2 linked regions of the Elephas maximus indicus genome follow. Each later gene encodes a partner of the first gene's protein in a complex. Links are inferred from orthologs where the notes say so. Each region holds a gene or a part of one and is shown in the gene's direction. Other genes may lie near its edges.

Region 1 (7,850 bases):
CCCACATACACCCTCCTTTGTGGGAGTCATCTCATGCCCTGGCTGGTGGGGCACAGGCAGGGAAGTACACTGATGTGTTCACATGCAGGCTCCATCTGGGGTTTCCTGCCTCTGGCTGGTGACAGAGCCATCCTTGATATTCCTCCCACCCCCGGTCACAAACTTCGCCTCTCCTTTTTTTTTTTTTTAAACAGGCAGCCAGTTTTATTCATACAGTTATTTATTTGGTAGTTTTTTTTTTTATTGTGGTAAAATGTATATAACAAAATTTATCATTTTAACCACTTTCGAGTGTACAGTTCAGTAATGTTAATTACATTCACAATGTTGTGTAACCATCACCGCTATTTCCAATAAGTGAGTTTTACAAACCTTTTTTATCATCCTTACCAGAAACTCTATACTTATTAGGCGATAACTCCACATTACCCCTTGCCCCTGACCCTGGTAACCTCGATTCCACTTTCTGTCTCTATGCATTCGCCTAGTGCCTCTCCTTTGACGCCTCTCCACTAGGCTTTCGAAGCCTCTGGTAGCCCCTGGTACCACCCTCCACACACTGCCTCCCCCACCCAGGCATCTTGTCCCCACAGCCAAAGTTTGTATGTCCCGAGGCCCCTTCCCTCTGGATGATGACGGGTGAAGTGGAATTAAACACCATCATGGCTCACACTTCATGCCTCCCAGACAGTAATGCCCAAATAAGGTAAAATGCTGGCTTTCTGAAGAACCTGCAGGAGTCAGACTTCAGAGAAGTCAGTGGCGTCCTTGATCAAAAATTTAAATTGTTCTCCATAGGTAGTTAAGTCCCAGCTAACACCAGGGCCACAACCCAGGCTCCAGAACCCACCTGGTGGCAGTGAGCTGTAATTGCAGACCGAGGTGCCACTGGCTTGCCAGCTGACCTGCTTCTACAGACACGTGTCAGGGCCTGTGCTAGGCACTGGGGAAACAAGGATGAACAAACAGGGCTCATGGTGCTGGGAGGCTTGACGCCGAAAGCCTTATCTCTCACCTTGGTTGCATTTCCAGCAGAGACCTTGACCCCCTTTCCCAAGCGTGCACTCCCTGGACAAAAGCATGTGAACACAATCACAGCAATTTCTGTGGGCCAGCCCAGGCTTAGGGATTTAGATGCATGCATTCTGGGAACCCTGCCAACAACCCCACAAGGCCAATGCTCTTTTTATGTCCATTTGAGGTATGAGAAAACTGAGGCATAGAGAGAGCAAGTCATTTGCCCACATCACTCAGTGGAAGAGTGGCAGAGCAGGGTTCCACCACAGGCATCTGACTCTCAGGAGCTTTAGGGCACACCACTTCCCATTCAGTCCACAGATTCAGTCCAAAGGACCTGCTGCATTTCCCATAGGGGTGCAGTGTAGACCAGCATTGTACACTGACCTTGTTTCATGTGACCTTGTAAAACTCACCTATTAGTTCCTGTGGCGTTTTGTAGATTCTTTCGTACTTTCTACGTACAGTATCATGTTGCTTGTGAATAAAGAGAGTTTTATTTCTTCCTTTCTAATTGGATGCCATTTATTTCTTTCTCTTGCCTTATGTCATCGACCAGGACTTTCAGTAGTAGAAGGACTCTAGAGGCTGGGTTCAAATCCCAGCTGTGCCACTCACTAGCTGTGTGAATTCGGGCAAGTCAATTAACGTCTCTATGTCTCAGTTCCCTCACATGGAAAATGGAGTGATACTTAGCTCCTAAGGATGTTGTGAGATTAGATGGAATAATGCATATAAATGAATAAAGTACATGGCTCAGTGTCCAGTACATAGTAAATGCTCAATATATGGGAGCTGTTATTAATAAAAGAATGCTTTGGTGTGTGCCAGGGGTTGTAGACACCCCCAAGAGGGCATCTGAGGCAGCTGTTAAACCCCTTTCCCCCAACTGTTTTCTATACTTATGACCCTTGGGTCTCTCAAACTGGAGGATCATATATCCTAAGTTTTCAGCTTCTTTCCTGCTTTGGAACTGGCCCACTAGGAGTATGTGTCTGTGGTTGGGTGGGGAAAATTATGGAGTGTGACTAGATAGCTCCCACCCATGACCACCTGACATCTGTTTTGTAAGACAGGCCCCCCACTCCTGGGCTCCTGGCTAGAGAAGGCTGCCCCAGGGTAGGGATGTTATGTAGAGAAGGCTGCCTCAGGGCAGGAACGTTATGTGGGTGGAAATCAAAGTTTATGCACAGATATATAGGCAAATGAGGTCAGAGACAGGCAGGGGCCAGGTCCCACAGGGCCTCAACGCCAGGATGATGAGTTTGGATTTTATTCTCAGTGTAAGGGGAAGCCACCAGAAGTTTAAGCAGGGAGAAATTTAATCTGATCTGATTTAAAAATATCCCTCTAGCCCTTGTACAGAGACTAAATGGTAGAAGGGGCAAATACACAATTAGAGAGGCAAACTAGGAGGTTATTGTAGCCACTCGAGTGAGTGGTGACACTGATTGGCCTGGAGTAGTGGCCACAGAGATGCACAGATTGAGATGTAGATGGAGGAATCCGAGAATTAAAATGACCAACGATTAAAATCACATGGGGAGTTAAACACATACTGATAGACCTGCGGGCCTCACGCTTGTAAAGCCTCAATGCCTAAATCTGGGCTTGGAGCTTGTATTTTCAACAAGTCCTCTGGGACGTGCAGCCATGTTTCCTGAGTCTACTCATCCACAAGGTAGTGAAGAGGCAAGTGTGGTAGAGTGAGCAGAGCCTGGGGTGGGAAGGCCAGCTGCCAGTTTGTTTTTGGGACTTAACGGCCCCAAATGACTGTCAGAACTAACAATGCCTACCTCCATGATGGGCCAAGTTGTTGTGAGGAATCAATAACACAATGTTTTTAAAGTGCCCAGCAAAGGCCCGGGCCTTTGGGAAACGTTTAGCAAACGGTGCAGGCCCCGGAGTAAGGCAGGTACAGTTGGAACACTGGCTCTGGCACCATCTGCTGTGTGAATTCTCATCCTTTTTGATAATTTAATCCTCTGTATAGTCCCTGTGCATCTATAAGAAAGCATCCATTCTACACTGACACACTTGGCTTTAAAGTCGACTCCGCAGCAATCACTTTTAATACCAACGTGATGACCAAACAAAAAACCTGTTACCCTTGAGTCAAATCCAATTCATAGCAACCCTATAGGACAGAGTAAAACTCCCTCCATAGGGTTACTAAGGCTGTAAATCTTTACAGAAGCAGACTGCCGATCTCTCCCCCCATAGAGTGGCTGTTGGGTTCAAACTGCCTTTCTGTTAGCAGCCCATTGTGCTTAACCACTGCAACACCAGGGCTCCCTCTGTAAACTAGGAGTGCTGTGAGAATTAAAGGAGTTAAGGTTTTGTTCATCCTTCCTAGTGTAAAACAAGATGTCAAGACTATACCCCACCCCTTGGTCTAGGGGCACGCAGAATCTTGCTCTGAACTGGCTGGGCTCTGTCGGCTCGCAGGGCACCACTGCCCTCTTATGGCCAAGGCTTGACTCAACAGATGGGCCCTTGTACTTTCTTCTGCTCCAGTGCCTTCCTCAAGGTAGGGAGGAGGGTGAGGGTCTGACCTGCCCACTTGTCCAATGACCAGCAGAGCTCTAGCATTTATATCAGAGATTGCCTCACAGGGTTGGTAGTCATGAGCCTTGCTTAGGTGAAAGAAGTGTCCTCTTTTTGGAAATTCATAAAACAATTGATCTGATAAAACTTCAGGAAGCAGCGGGCCTGATCTACTGAGTAGAGCAAGCAGTATGTGGCTAATGCAGGCAGTTCTTCCATTTAATCCTTAAAAAAAAAAAAATTTTTTTTTTTTAATGGTCCCTGTGCATGAAGAATTATAATCTCCAATTTCCCGAGGCTGAAACACAAGTTTGTTGTGCTATAAACCATGAAGGACAAGGGCCAGGGAGAGCATAGTGGGGGGCAGGAAAAATGGGTGAGGGAAATGCTCGCATTAAGTAGGACGTGGAGGTGAAGCCACATACACATGTTCGCTGCATCCTTAGAAAGATGCCTGGCACACAGAAAGCGCCAATTCACAAGAAGTATAAATACAGGTGAGAATCTTTGTGTTATGTGGGCACTTGCTCTCCTTGCCAAACATACCTGCCCTGCAAGGTCTGACTGGTTTTTTTTAAGACAGTTTCTTGTTTTTTCAAAAGAAATGTTAAAGTAAATCAGCTCACTCAAAGAACGTTACAAGGAAAGTAGAAAACCAGTGAACAATGCGGAACATTGTTGGGAGGAGTTGATGGTTGGTGCCGAACCAGCAACCTACACGGGGGCTGTAATGTAAAATACTGGCTGTAATGTAAAATAAGCCACTAGGAACGATGTGGAAAGGGGCTCTCCTTATTGTCCAATACTATTTTCTGTAGATCTTACCTATGGATCTTTCTAGATTCTTTCATACAAAAAAAAGAACCAGACTCTTAGCGGCTTAGAGTTGTCAGGAAACTCAGAGGTCCATTTCTCAAATATCTCTAATCCTGGTAAACAGTAAACGGGATAGTGTGTACGAGGCAGTTTTGGTAAAAATCCAGGCGTCACACAACGTGAAACTTTGCTATTTCACTGGCGCAGCCTTGCCAATAGTAAACATGGCAATTCGGCTCCTCTTTCCCTTCAAGTTAACCTAAGGGTTGCCACTAGTCAACATGGCCGCCAGCCCGTGACCGCCTATTGGCGGCTTCTCAAAGGCCCTGCTCTGCCCCGCCCCTGCGAGCGTCCGCGGGGAATCGCGGGGACGGATATCGTGGCTCCGGGCCCGGTTGCGCCTGCGCAAGTCATTGGCGCCAAGATGGCGATGGAGATGAGACTTCCAGTGGCTCGCAAACCTCTCAGCGAGAGCCTGGGTCGCGAGACTAAAAAACACCTGGTAGTGCCGGGAGACACGATCACTACAGACACGGGCTTCATGCGGTATGTAGGGACCTGGGGGACTCGGGACTCCAGTGAGCGAGTGCAGGGCTCAGCACGTGGCCTACTAGTCCGAAACCCCGGCCTGCAGAGTCTAAGCCCTTCCTTCATTCAGCGCAGATCTCCAGAGCACCCCAGTCCCCGGGTTTCCGAGGACTCGGGCTTCTCACTCTCTGTTTTGTGTGTTCGCGTTTGTCTCAGCCCCCTGAAGCCCTTTTCTCCTGACCTCTGGTGGCCGTGGTCTCTCGGGTCCTCTGCCTTTGGCCCAGATCTCTAAGCCTTCCTCGTTGGAGACCTGGAAAACTGGGGAGAGTCTGGAACAAGGGCCTCTTTCCAGTTTTCAGGAGAACGGTGGGCGTTTCTGATTTGGCTTCCATCTCCCTCAGTGTCATCTTGGGACCAGGGGCTGGGTTTTGGAGTCAGTAGTTTGGGTTAAGGCAGACAAATATATTGTGCTACATGCATCGGAATATACAATCTTTGACCTAAAGGCAATGTAGTTTGTTATGGTTAACAGGGCAGGCTCTTGAGTGAAACGGTCCTGGTTCCAGTCGTGCTGCCATCATTTATTATTAGCGGCATTATCTCCTGAAACATTATTTCCTCGTTTGTAAAATAGTGATGACAGTAGCTATCTGGGAAGGTAGTGAGGATTAAATGAGATTATAATGTGAAAAAGAGAAACAGAGCCCACCAAACCAAAAAAAAAAAAAAACCAAACCCATTGCCCTTGAGTAGATTCCGACTCATAGCGACCCTATATAATCCCACCTTAAACACTATTAACATTTTAGTTGGTTTGTTTGTTTCTTTTTTTGCAGGGGGTGGGGGAGACACATGTACATATATGAGGAATACAGCATTTACAACATTGCCTTTTTGCCCAAAACCAAAAAACCGAACCCACTGCCGTCAAGTCGATTACGACTCATAGCAACCCTACAGAACAGAGTAGAACTGCCCCATAGAGTTTCCAAGGAGCACCTGGCAGATTTGAACTGCTGACCCCTTGGTTAGCAGCCATAGCACTTAACCACTACGCCACCTTTTTGCCCAGTTTGAGGTTATTGAATTCTCGGAAATCTTAAAACTCATTCCTGCGTTCTTGGCATTCGATACATTTATATTATGTGCGGTTGGGGTACAACAATGAACAAAATGAAAATCTCTGTCCTGGCGGAGTTTAAATTCTAACAGGGACAGACAGATAATAATTAAGTAATCACAACAAATAAATAAATTGTGCAGAATGTTTGGTGAAAGTGCAATAATAAAACAAAAAGCAGAGCAGGGTCATTGGAATGGGGTTGGGAATGTGGTGGTATGGGCAGCAGAGTGGATTACTGTTTTAAATGAGGTAGGTCAGATGGAGAAAGTGATGTTTGAACAGACTCGAAGATGAGGGAGACGTCCGTGTAGCTCTCTGGAGAGGCAGTGTTGCAGGCCCGTAGAGTAACCAGTACAAAAGCCAGGCTTTAAGGCAGAAGGAGCGTGTTAGGTTTGAGGAACACATTGTTCTTGAGGGGAGAGGTCACCTCAAGTGTTACCCTAGTATCCTTTGTATCTGTATCTTGCAACAGGGGTCATGGAACGTATATGGGGGAAGAGAAGCTCATAGCATCTGTGGCTGGCTCTGTGGAGAGAGTAAACAAGTTGATTTGTGTGAAAGCTTTGAAAACCAGGTGAGGACAAAAGGTGTGTATTCTCTTTCTTGAGACAACATATTGTGTGACCAAGTCTATTCTGTCTCCCTCCTCCCAATTGCCCTATCATTTTGTGAGTCTGTGATTTTGAACATGACTGTAAGAAAGATTGTATGGAGATTATATGTAAGGTTTTCCCCCATTACTTAACCTTTCCAAGCCTTGGTTACTTCCTCTGCAAAATGAGGATAAAAACACAAACTGCCTTCTAGAATTTTTGTTAGAATTTAGCGAAGCGATGAATTTATGTAAAATACTTAGCACAGAGCCTAGTACCTAGAAGGGCTAAGTAAAGGTTAGCCCCAGGAACAGTGAGTGAGGGGGACGGTAGGAGCATATACAGGCAGAGAGAGAGCTGAGGTGGGAGGACAGTCTGGCTTGCCTTGTAGGCCATTGTAAGCATTTTGGCTTCCACTTTGCGTAACCTGGGAAGACATTGGAGGGGTAGAGCAGAGGAGGGACATGATCGACTTATATTTTAATAAAATCTGTCCTATAGAGTTGCTGTGAGTCGGAATCGACTCGACGGCACTGAGTTTTTTTTTTTTTTTTTTTGGTCTGGCTGCTATGAGGAAGTTGAAGGGGAATCGGGGCAGATTTAGGAAGATGAATTCATCTGAAGTAATGGGTAGCTTGGAATGAAGTAGTAGAAGTGGAAATGGGAGTAGTGATTTGATTCTGCATATATTTTGAAGGTAGAGCTAGCAGGATTTGCCGCTGGACTGATCATGGAGCATGAGAAACAGAAAGGAATCAAGGATGCCTCTCCAAGGTTTTTGGCTTGAGCATCTGGTGGGATGAAGTCACCACTTACTGAGATGGGGAGAGGAGAAGAGGAGGTTGCTTGCAAGCTTAGTTTTGGGCTTGTTAAATTTGAAAATGCCTATTAGTCATTAAAATGGAGTGTGTGGGGTAGTCATCAGTAGTATTTAAAGCCATTAGATTGAATGAACTTACCAAGAGATGAGTGTGAACTGAAAAGTGAAGAGGCCCAGGGACTGACCTTGAGCATTGGAACATATCATCATTAGAATCAGAGCAAAGAGGCCTGCGAAAGGGCAGCCATCGGGTAGGAGAGGTGGCGAGTAGGCCCATTTAACTGGCATCAGTGCCTCTTTGGGTGGCATCCTGTCTCAGAATCTCCTTTTTCCTCTTCTGGCTGGTGCAGAGCCCACAGGAAAACATTCTATCCTTTACATTGACCTAATAAAATAGGGATTTCAG
Region 2 (7,862 bases), on another chromosome or scaffold:
CACTAGGCTCACCTTCCTAGGGTAAGATAGCGATCCCACCCAAAGGTGTTCCATCCCCACTGGCCCTGAGCAGGAGATACTCATGTCTCAGCACAGAAAATCCAGAGTTCAATCACCAAGTCTCTACATACCAGGAAGGCCACAGTTTGGAGGAGACTATGAAAAGATGATGTTTTCCTGGCATTTCAGTTGTATTGGGATGAATGATTACAGTTGGGGAGACATGCTACTATAGGTTTCTCACCTTTACAATCAAGGGCCATGGATTACCTGGCCATTTGTCTCTGGATATCTGCTTTGGAAGAGGAAGGCAAATGATTTAAAATGCAAAATCAGGAAGAAAAAGGTTGTTGTTGTTAGCTGCCACTGAATTGGCCCCTGACTCCTGGCGACCCCATGCACAACAGGATGAAATGCTGCCCTGTCCTACACCATCCCCACGATTGGTTGCAAATTGGACGGCTGTGATCCATAGGGTTTTCACTGGCTAATTTTTCAGAAGTAGATTGCCCGGTCTTTCTTCTTAGGCCATTTTAATCTGGAAGCAGATACTAGTCTCCTTTTTTCCCCAGCAGGTCAATATCCAGACATCATATTCCTCCATTATTCCTTGAGACTCAGTTAACTTCTGTGGCTATCAGGGTGTGTATGTGAGTTTAAATGCTTCCAGAATTGGTAATCGGGATATATGACCCCCTTTTCTCACACACACCCTTATGAGGGACATAGGAAGCACCCTGCCATGCCCTCAAAATGAAACACATGTGAAGACTCCTCCTCCAAGTGAGAATAAACTTTCCCGATGTATTTCTATCAATTTTCTATCGCTATGTCCCCAAGTTACAATTTCTAGAACTGTGACATAGACCTGCTGGCCAGACTCTGCCAGGTTATTTATAACAAGTATTTTTTAAGGTAAGATAGGGGCAGGACAAATTCAAGTATATAAAGAAAACAGATCTATAGGGAAAATAGTAGCTCACTTTGTCCTTTTCTGGGGTGATGGGTTGATGGTGAAAAAGCAAAGAAAATGGACTAAAACTTGGCCATGTCAGTTTAAGACTGGGAACAAAATATTCCCCTGCTGGGTTTTTAAAGACTCTGGGTTTTTTTTTTTTTTCTAGCTCTCTGCAACTTCAGCACCATGGAGTGACACACTGCCCCCAAGCTCTTCCATAACTGGCTTTTATTGCTTTAATTAAACAAGACTAGGTGGGACAGATTCACTCCATCTCTGTATTATTATTGTTGCCTGCTAGTGGCTTTTAGTGTGTAGTGGCTAGCAGCAGCTCGTCACTTCTTGCACTTGATGCCTGGCCTGCACACTTAGCACCTTATTATAGGCTGGCCTCTCTTCTAATTACCATGTGTCTCAATTGAGCACTTTATTTTATTGTCTTGTTCATGCACTAGTTCAAGTGCTTGGGTTCCCTAACTATTATAGATTCTAAACTCCTTTTGGGCTGGTGCTGTGTTTTGGGTTTCCTTTTTATTTCTTCAGGCCCATGAGAACACTATAGACCTCTCAGGCATGCAAACACCACTTCCTGGTTTTATGAAGTTTCTAGATCTATCCTGGGAATATGGCACATGGTTGGAAGCTGGGATGCCATGCCTATTTCCACCCTCCGTATCAGATCCTTCAGCCTCCTTCACTGGTGAGGGCTCTCATCAGCTTCTTGGAGTTATGCTCTACTAGGCCTGTATCTAACTTTTTTTCTCATCTAAAAGGTTGGGCTGAAATAGACAGAGAAACTTTCCACCAGCACCACCTTCCATGTTCCTCTAGAAAAAAAAATTTAAGGATGTGAGTTTATGCTTGAAACAGACTTCTCACTTACTATTTTTATAGTCCTTGGGTAGTGCAAACAGTTAACTGTTGGCAGTTCAAACCTACCCAGAGATGCCTTGTAAGATAGGTCTGATCAGCTTCCGAAAGGTCATAGCCTTGAAAACCCTATGGAGCAGTTCTACTCTGCAGACCTGGGGTTACCGTGAGTCAGAACTGACTTGACGAGAGCTAACAACAACACAGTTTATAGGGCAGTTGCCAATTCCATAACAAACGCAGGCCACCTTCTCCAAACACTCCGGTGAATGAAACAGATCCTGGGGGGCGGGGGGCTGGGGGAGGACGGTATAGGTAATGGTTAGAAGTACAAGCATGGGAGCTAAATCGGCTGGGCTCAAATTCTGGCTCTGCTACTTACTAGTCTAGCTATGTGACCTGTGACCATGGTCAAGACACTTAATCTTTCTACACCCCAGATTCTCAATCTGTAAAATGGAGATAATGATAGTATCTGGCTCATAGGGTTGTTGTGAGGACAGAAAGCGTGAACCTTTGTAAAGTGTTTAGAACACTGCTCGGCACATAATCAGCACTATGTAGGTTTGTGTTAAATAAAATTAATAGAGTTCAGCTTTTAGAATATACAGACCTACAAAAATAATATACCCCTGAAAGAATATGACAGTGATGGGAAAACAAGCTGGTTGAATGGAATTTTTTGCCATCCTTAACTTCTTAAATTTTTGGCTAAAAAAAGAACTCTGAATTTATGGGTTTTAAAAATGTTTAATCATTATCACAGCAAATGTGATAAAAATGTTCTGGAAACATTAAGTAGAACAACCAGTGAAGGTGCACTGTTTTAGTTGAGAATTTAAAATAAATAGTCTATTGTTTATACCTCTTACAGCTACTTAGCCTAATCTATCAGACATCATTCGTAACAGTATTTATGTTATGTAACTTAACAGTATTAGCAAAAACTATGGACGCTTCCCCAGCAAGAAACCCTTTGTCAGGTGTCAGGACAGCTCAAATATATGTTGTGTATTTTAAAGGACATATTGAAAGATATTTTCTATAAAGATGACTCCATGGTATCCAAATTCAGACCTTTCTTGCTCTGTGTCTTTTCTGATCTGTGAATTTGCTGGCATCTTTTAAATCCCCAATCCCCTGACATATCCTAGCAACTAAAATCCCACTTGAAGAGGCTCTCTCTTCTGAGCAATTACTAGTACAAAATATGGTTTCTCACAGTCCCTTGTTATCTCAACACACAGTTCCTCACATAGAATTCAGCTGCCCAACTACACACAAAGGTATCTATGTACCACAACAGGTGGGGCACCTGTGCCTTGATTGGGGAGGGAACCCTTCTGGCTTCACCTCTCCTAGTTTCCCTGGAGAGCAAAGTTCAACCCTGGAAGACATCTTCCCTATAGGTGCACCTTTACAGAAAACTACGTAGACTTCAGAAACAAATGCCTAGTCTAAGAAAAAGTGATCATCTATTTTGGGGCTCAGCAGTTAAGTGCTTAAGAATGCGGGCAGACACTTCCTCTCCGTACCCTTCTCTGACTCACCTCCTGGTTCTCAGTCCCACTGCACCCATTGGTGCTACCATCATAGCTCTAACCACAACGTTCTGTGGTTCCCTCGACCCTCCAGCCTCCCCCTCTGCACAGGGAGCTTCTCTGGGCAGAAGTTGCATTTTACTTGTCTTAGTGTTCCAAAGCTAGAACAAAGCCCATCTGTAGTAGGCTCCCAATAGTTATCTGTGAAATTGTACCGAAGCCAATATCTGAGAAAATCAACCATTCTTTGGATAATCAAGCTGTTAAGGTTTACTTTGGTTTCTGACAACAGAGAAGGAGGTTCCTCAAAAACGGGACACGAGGAAGTCATCAGACCCATTCCTTGTTTCAACCACTTTGAATCAACTTTCCTCCATTTATCCGCATGGCCCCTTTAAAACTTGTACCGTACCGAGTCTGCCCCGCCTTAATGGGCTCCTGTGGTGACCCCAGCTTCACCTTGCAGGTATCCTGTCTGGATATCCAAGGCCCAGAATTCGACTCGGCCACCGCGCGGGGCTGGCTTTTTTACCGGCAGCTGCCATAGCTCCCACGATCACCCCCATCAAGCCGGGACTTCCAGTCCCCTATGGGAAGCGCTGGGGGCGCCCCGGCACTGCGCCCGCGCCAGCGCCGGTTGCCAAGATCCTCCTTACTTTTTTCGGGACAATGCTCCGGCGATCATCCGGGGAAGTGGGCCCTGCAAGGTCCTGGCCCCCCGACCCGTTCGATTCGTCCTCGGAGAGAGGAGGGGGGAGTTTGAGGGACCGGGGGAAGGCGGCGACGATGCCTCGAGATTAGTGACCCCACTCCCCGCCCGGACCCTTCCCACGGAGACCGAGCCGAAGAGAGCTTCATTGCTTCTACTTTTCAACCATTCTAGGAACCAGGGAAAGGGAGGGGCGGGAAGAGTGGGGAGATAGCCCCCCGGGCCAATCACGACGTCCGGCTCCTTTCGGGGTCTGTCAGTTTCCTCTCTCTTACACACACATGACCTGCTACTTCAACTCCAGCTGTGAGCAAACTGCGCCTCGTGCCTCTCCTACTACGAGTCCCCCAGCCCTGGCCCGCGCGCCTATCCTAACCCCAGTTTCTTCACCCCAACCCGAGTTCCCCCTTCTAACTGACCGTGAAGCCGGTGGCAGTTCCCCAGTCCCAGGCCGCCGGGGAGACTCTTGCCGCCGCCGCCGTGGCCACAATTTGCACTCCCCGACACGGGTCCCGGCCTTGGGCTGCGGCGATGGCTCCCCGGCTCCCTGGACTCGGCCAGACACCCGGCGGCGCGCAGGAGAAGCCCATCGAGCTCCCGGCGGCGGCGGCAGCAGCGGCTGCAGGAGCGGCCGCCGCGCTGGCTGATGACGTTCGGGTGCAGGGGGCGCGGCCGCCTGGGGGAGGGGGCGCGGGCGGATGACGTACGGCGAGCAGGGCGACTCTGCAGCATGGCGTCCGTGGCGCTGAGCGAGGCGGAGAAGGTGTACATCGTGCATGGCGTCCAGGTAGTTGCAGCAGCAGGTCGGCCGTAGAGTTACGCTGGCCCTGCGAGCTGCGGCTGGCCCTCGGTTTCCCGGCTGGGGAGGCCCCAGGTTGCCGCGAGTCTGGATTTACCTTGTGATTAAATGGCTCGGATTCTGCATCCCGAAGCCGGCAACGCGGCCGTTTTTAGGACTGGGTGGCGAGCATCCATTTAGGTCTCTTCTCGTACTTGCAGCTTTTCGGGCCTACAAGGTTCTGAACCTGGGTAGGAAGGGGTGGGCGCTCCCAGAGGCCTTTCTTGAGGTCTTTCCTGGGGGAAATACCGCCCCCGGACCATCTCTTCACCCTTTGCGTGACGCTTCGCTTGGCCTAGTCTCAGTTTTTTCTTCTAGGAAATGGGGGGAGGTGTGTTTCTGGCTCTCTTTTTCTCAGCTGGCGGTTTGGTGGCTCAGAGAGAGCACACACCCGCTTTGAAGATATATATTGCCTTACAGATGAAGGAGGGATGTTATGATTTAAAAGGCGGCTTTGCAGCCAGTAGCGTAATTCTTTCTGTTTCCCATTTTGCCATTGGAGAACTAAGATCCCTAAAAACAGCTAGAACCCATTGTCTTTGCTCAGACTTCAACCCCTAGTTTGGACCACTCCAGAAGTAGAGCTGGAGGATGTTGGGCCTGCTAGGAGCTACCCAGCTTCCTTCTCTGGCTCTTGTTATCCTTCCTTCACTCTTGTTATGCCACTGCGCGGCTCTCCCATCCCAGTTCTCCAGCCCACCTATGGCAGAGTTCTGAGGGCAGCTACTGCACCCTCCCTCATGCCCTTTCTCAGCCAAGGCAAACTGCAGTCAGTGGTCCCGTGATGTAGGTAATAGATTAGGCAGCCAGCTATCATTAAAACTCCACAACTGAGTTAAGGCCGTGTCCTTTTTAAAATTGTGGCCTGCTTTTTTTTTTTTATTGTGTGTGCCTGTTACAGAGGAAGTAAACATCAATATTTAGCTGACAGTTTGCTTGTTTGTTGTGTAACAACTCAGCGACACCTGAACCCAAGGTGGGCCACATCTCCAAGAGACTGAAGAAAGACTCCAGAACCAGTCATCGTGACATATGGTTTATTGGGACACTTACTTACAGGACCGTGGCCCAGGGCGGCAGCTGGACTAGTTTAGTGCTCCACAATCACCTAGCATAGGACACGAGCTTATATACCATTCCAGCTGGGTCCAAGGCTCATGGTTTTTCTCCCACGTCCTTGGGCAGTTACCGTTCCCAGGGACTTCACGTCCAGGCCCAGATGTTTTTCTTCTTGTTGCTAAGGCTTTCCTCAGCCTTGGTCACTGGCCTAGTCACACCACTCCTGTCCTTGTACCTCAGCCCAAGTCCATCCTGAATTCATCCCCATCATGCTTTGGGGGAGAGCAAAGCTGACTCCATTAGGACGGTATGCATATAGCTGAATAGGATTACCCTACAATATTAAACCTGAATAATAGAGTCAGAACGTAAAGGTTCATGAACTTTTTAAGATCTACTTCAGGGTCAGCAATAAGGAAATATATGTGTGTGTGTGTGTTACTGAGTGGCGTATGTATGTTATTTGTGTTTGGGAGGTATAAAACCGTTCACAAAGCAATTAGATTTGTCCTTCCCTGTCTTATTTTTGTGCCAACTTCGTTCAGATGATTTTCCTCCTCAAAGGAATGCTTAGGGGAGGCATTAAGGATTATGTTTTATTTCTAAATCTAAAAGCCTTTAGGTTTTTTCCTTTGCTACCACAGCCAGGAAATATTGGTTACACTTTACAGCCAATTCTCTCTCACATTCCATCTCTGACAGTGGCACCAAGGGACATAGGATAGGAAAATAAGTGAGTCCTCCTTGTCTGTAACCTCCCTAGGTTAGAGATGTCTTACAAACATCCTTAGTTCCCATGGCAACTCACTGTCCAACTGCCTATCAGAGACCCACTGAGGCTATAAGCTTTTCTTCCTTATTACTTTAAAATCAGTCAGCACGTCATTTATATTTATTACACACCTGTTATATGTTGGGTGCTGTGGGGAGGGAAAAAAAAAGCTACAGTCTGGCCCCTGAGATACTTAGGATATAGTTCGGGCAACGTTAGTTGGTTTTATTCACCATTTTATACCCAGCCCCCATTGTATTATGTGGGAAACAGTAGGAGTGCCAAAACATACTTGTGAAATAAATAAATGAACAATAGGGGAGAGAGACAGGAAAGATGAATAAAACAAAAGCAATGGCATATAGGATATACGCCAAGGGAGCTAAAGATTTCTGGGGGCTATAATGCTCTGGAAGGCTTCCTTAAGGAAGTAGAATTTCCAAGTGTCCCCCCTGTGTATCTTTGGGAATCAGTATTCATTCACCACAGAACTGAGCTAGCCTTGGGAGGTAAGACGGAACCTGCCCTTATCTTGTTCCCATGCTAGAAGGAAGATGCAGGAATTACAGACCCATTTGTTTATATGTTTAACTGAAAATTGTACTGAGTGCTGTGAGTGAAAAAGCTTTGGATTTGATCCAGTCTGGGAGAGTCCCTAAGGAAATGGCGTTTGAGCTGAGCCCTCAGAATGAGCAGGAGTTAAGTAGTCAAGAGCCTTTTAGAAGGATGGGATGGTGAGTCCACAGGCCCTTCAGAAGAGGAAGTGTGGAGCCCCAGGGGTGAGCTGGGGATAATAGTGGAAGACTGGATTGCAGAGGTGACCAGAAACCCAGTTACTTTCCTATTATGGATCTTGGTGGGTAATGGTCTATTGACTTATGTGTATGGTATCTTTAAGGCCTAGCCAGCGTCCAGCACTTGGTAGGAACTCAGTGACATTGAATAAGTATGGTAGGCCGTAAAGGGGGGGTGGGTTAGACAGTCTTTGTTTTTTAAGTCAACCCTCACACTCACTAATACATGGAAACATTAGGGTCACAGTTCATAGTAAAAAATATTTTTTTAGATAGTATTTTCCCCAAGCTGATTGTAAGTTCCTTTAGAACTCTCTTTTG

Evidence for each region. Proteins that work in one complex are often made in the same cells at the same time.
Region 2: EXOSC2 (region 1) and EXOSC7 share a complex: the UniProt entries of both Homo sapiens proteins name them as parts of the RNA exosome core complex. The link is inferred for Elephas maximus indicus from reciprocal best matches to the Homo sapiens genes EXOSC2 and EXOSC7.

What each region holds. Positions count from the first base shown.
Region 1 is NC_064827.1:81,633,961-81,641,810, forward strand, and holds the start of EXOSC2 (exosome complex component RRP4), read left to right. Parts: upstream 1-4,768; 5' UTR 4,769-4,804; coding exon 4,805-4,926; intron 4,927-6,503; coding exon 6,504-6,605; intron 6,606-7,850. UniProt on the Homo sapiens protein: Non-catalytic component of the RNA exosome complex which has 3'->5' exoribonuclease activity and participates in a multitude of cellular RNA processing and degradation events.
Region 2 is NC_064838.1:49,285,140-49,293,001, forward strand, and holds the start of EXOSC7 (exosome complex component RRP42), read left to right. Parts: upstream 1-4,786; 5' UTR 4,787-4,808; coding exon 4,809-4,865; intron 4,866-7,862. UniProt on the Homo sapiens protein: Non-catalytic component of the RNA exosome complex which has 3'->5' exoribonuclease activity and participates in a multitude of cellular RNA processing and degradation events.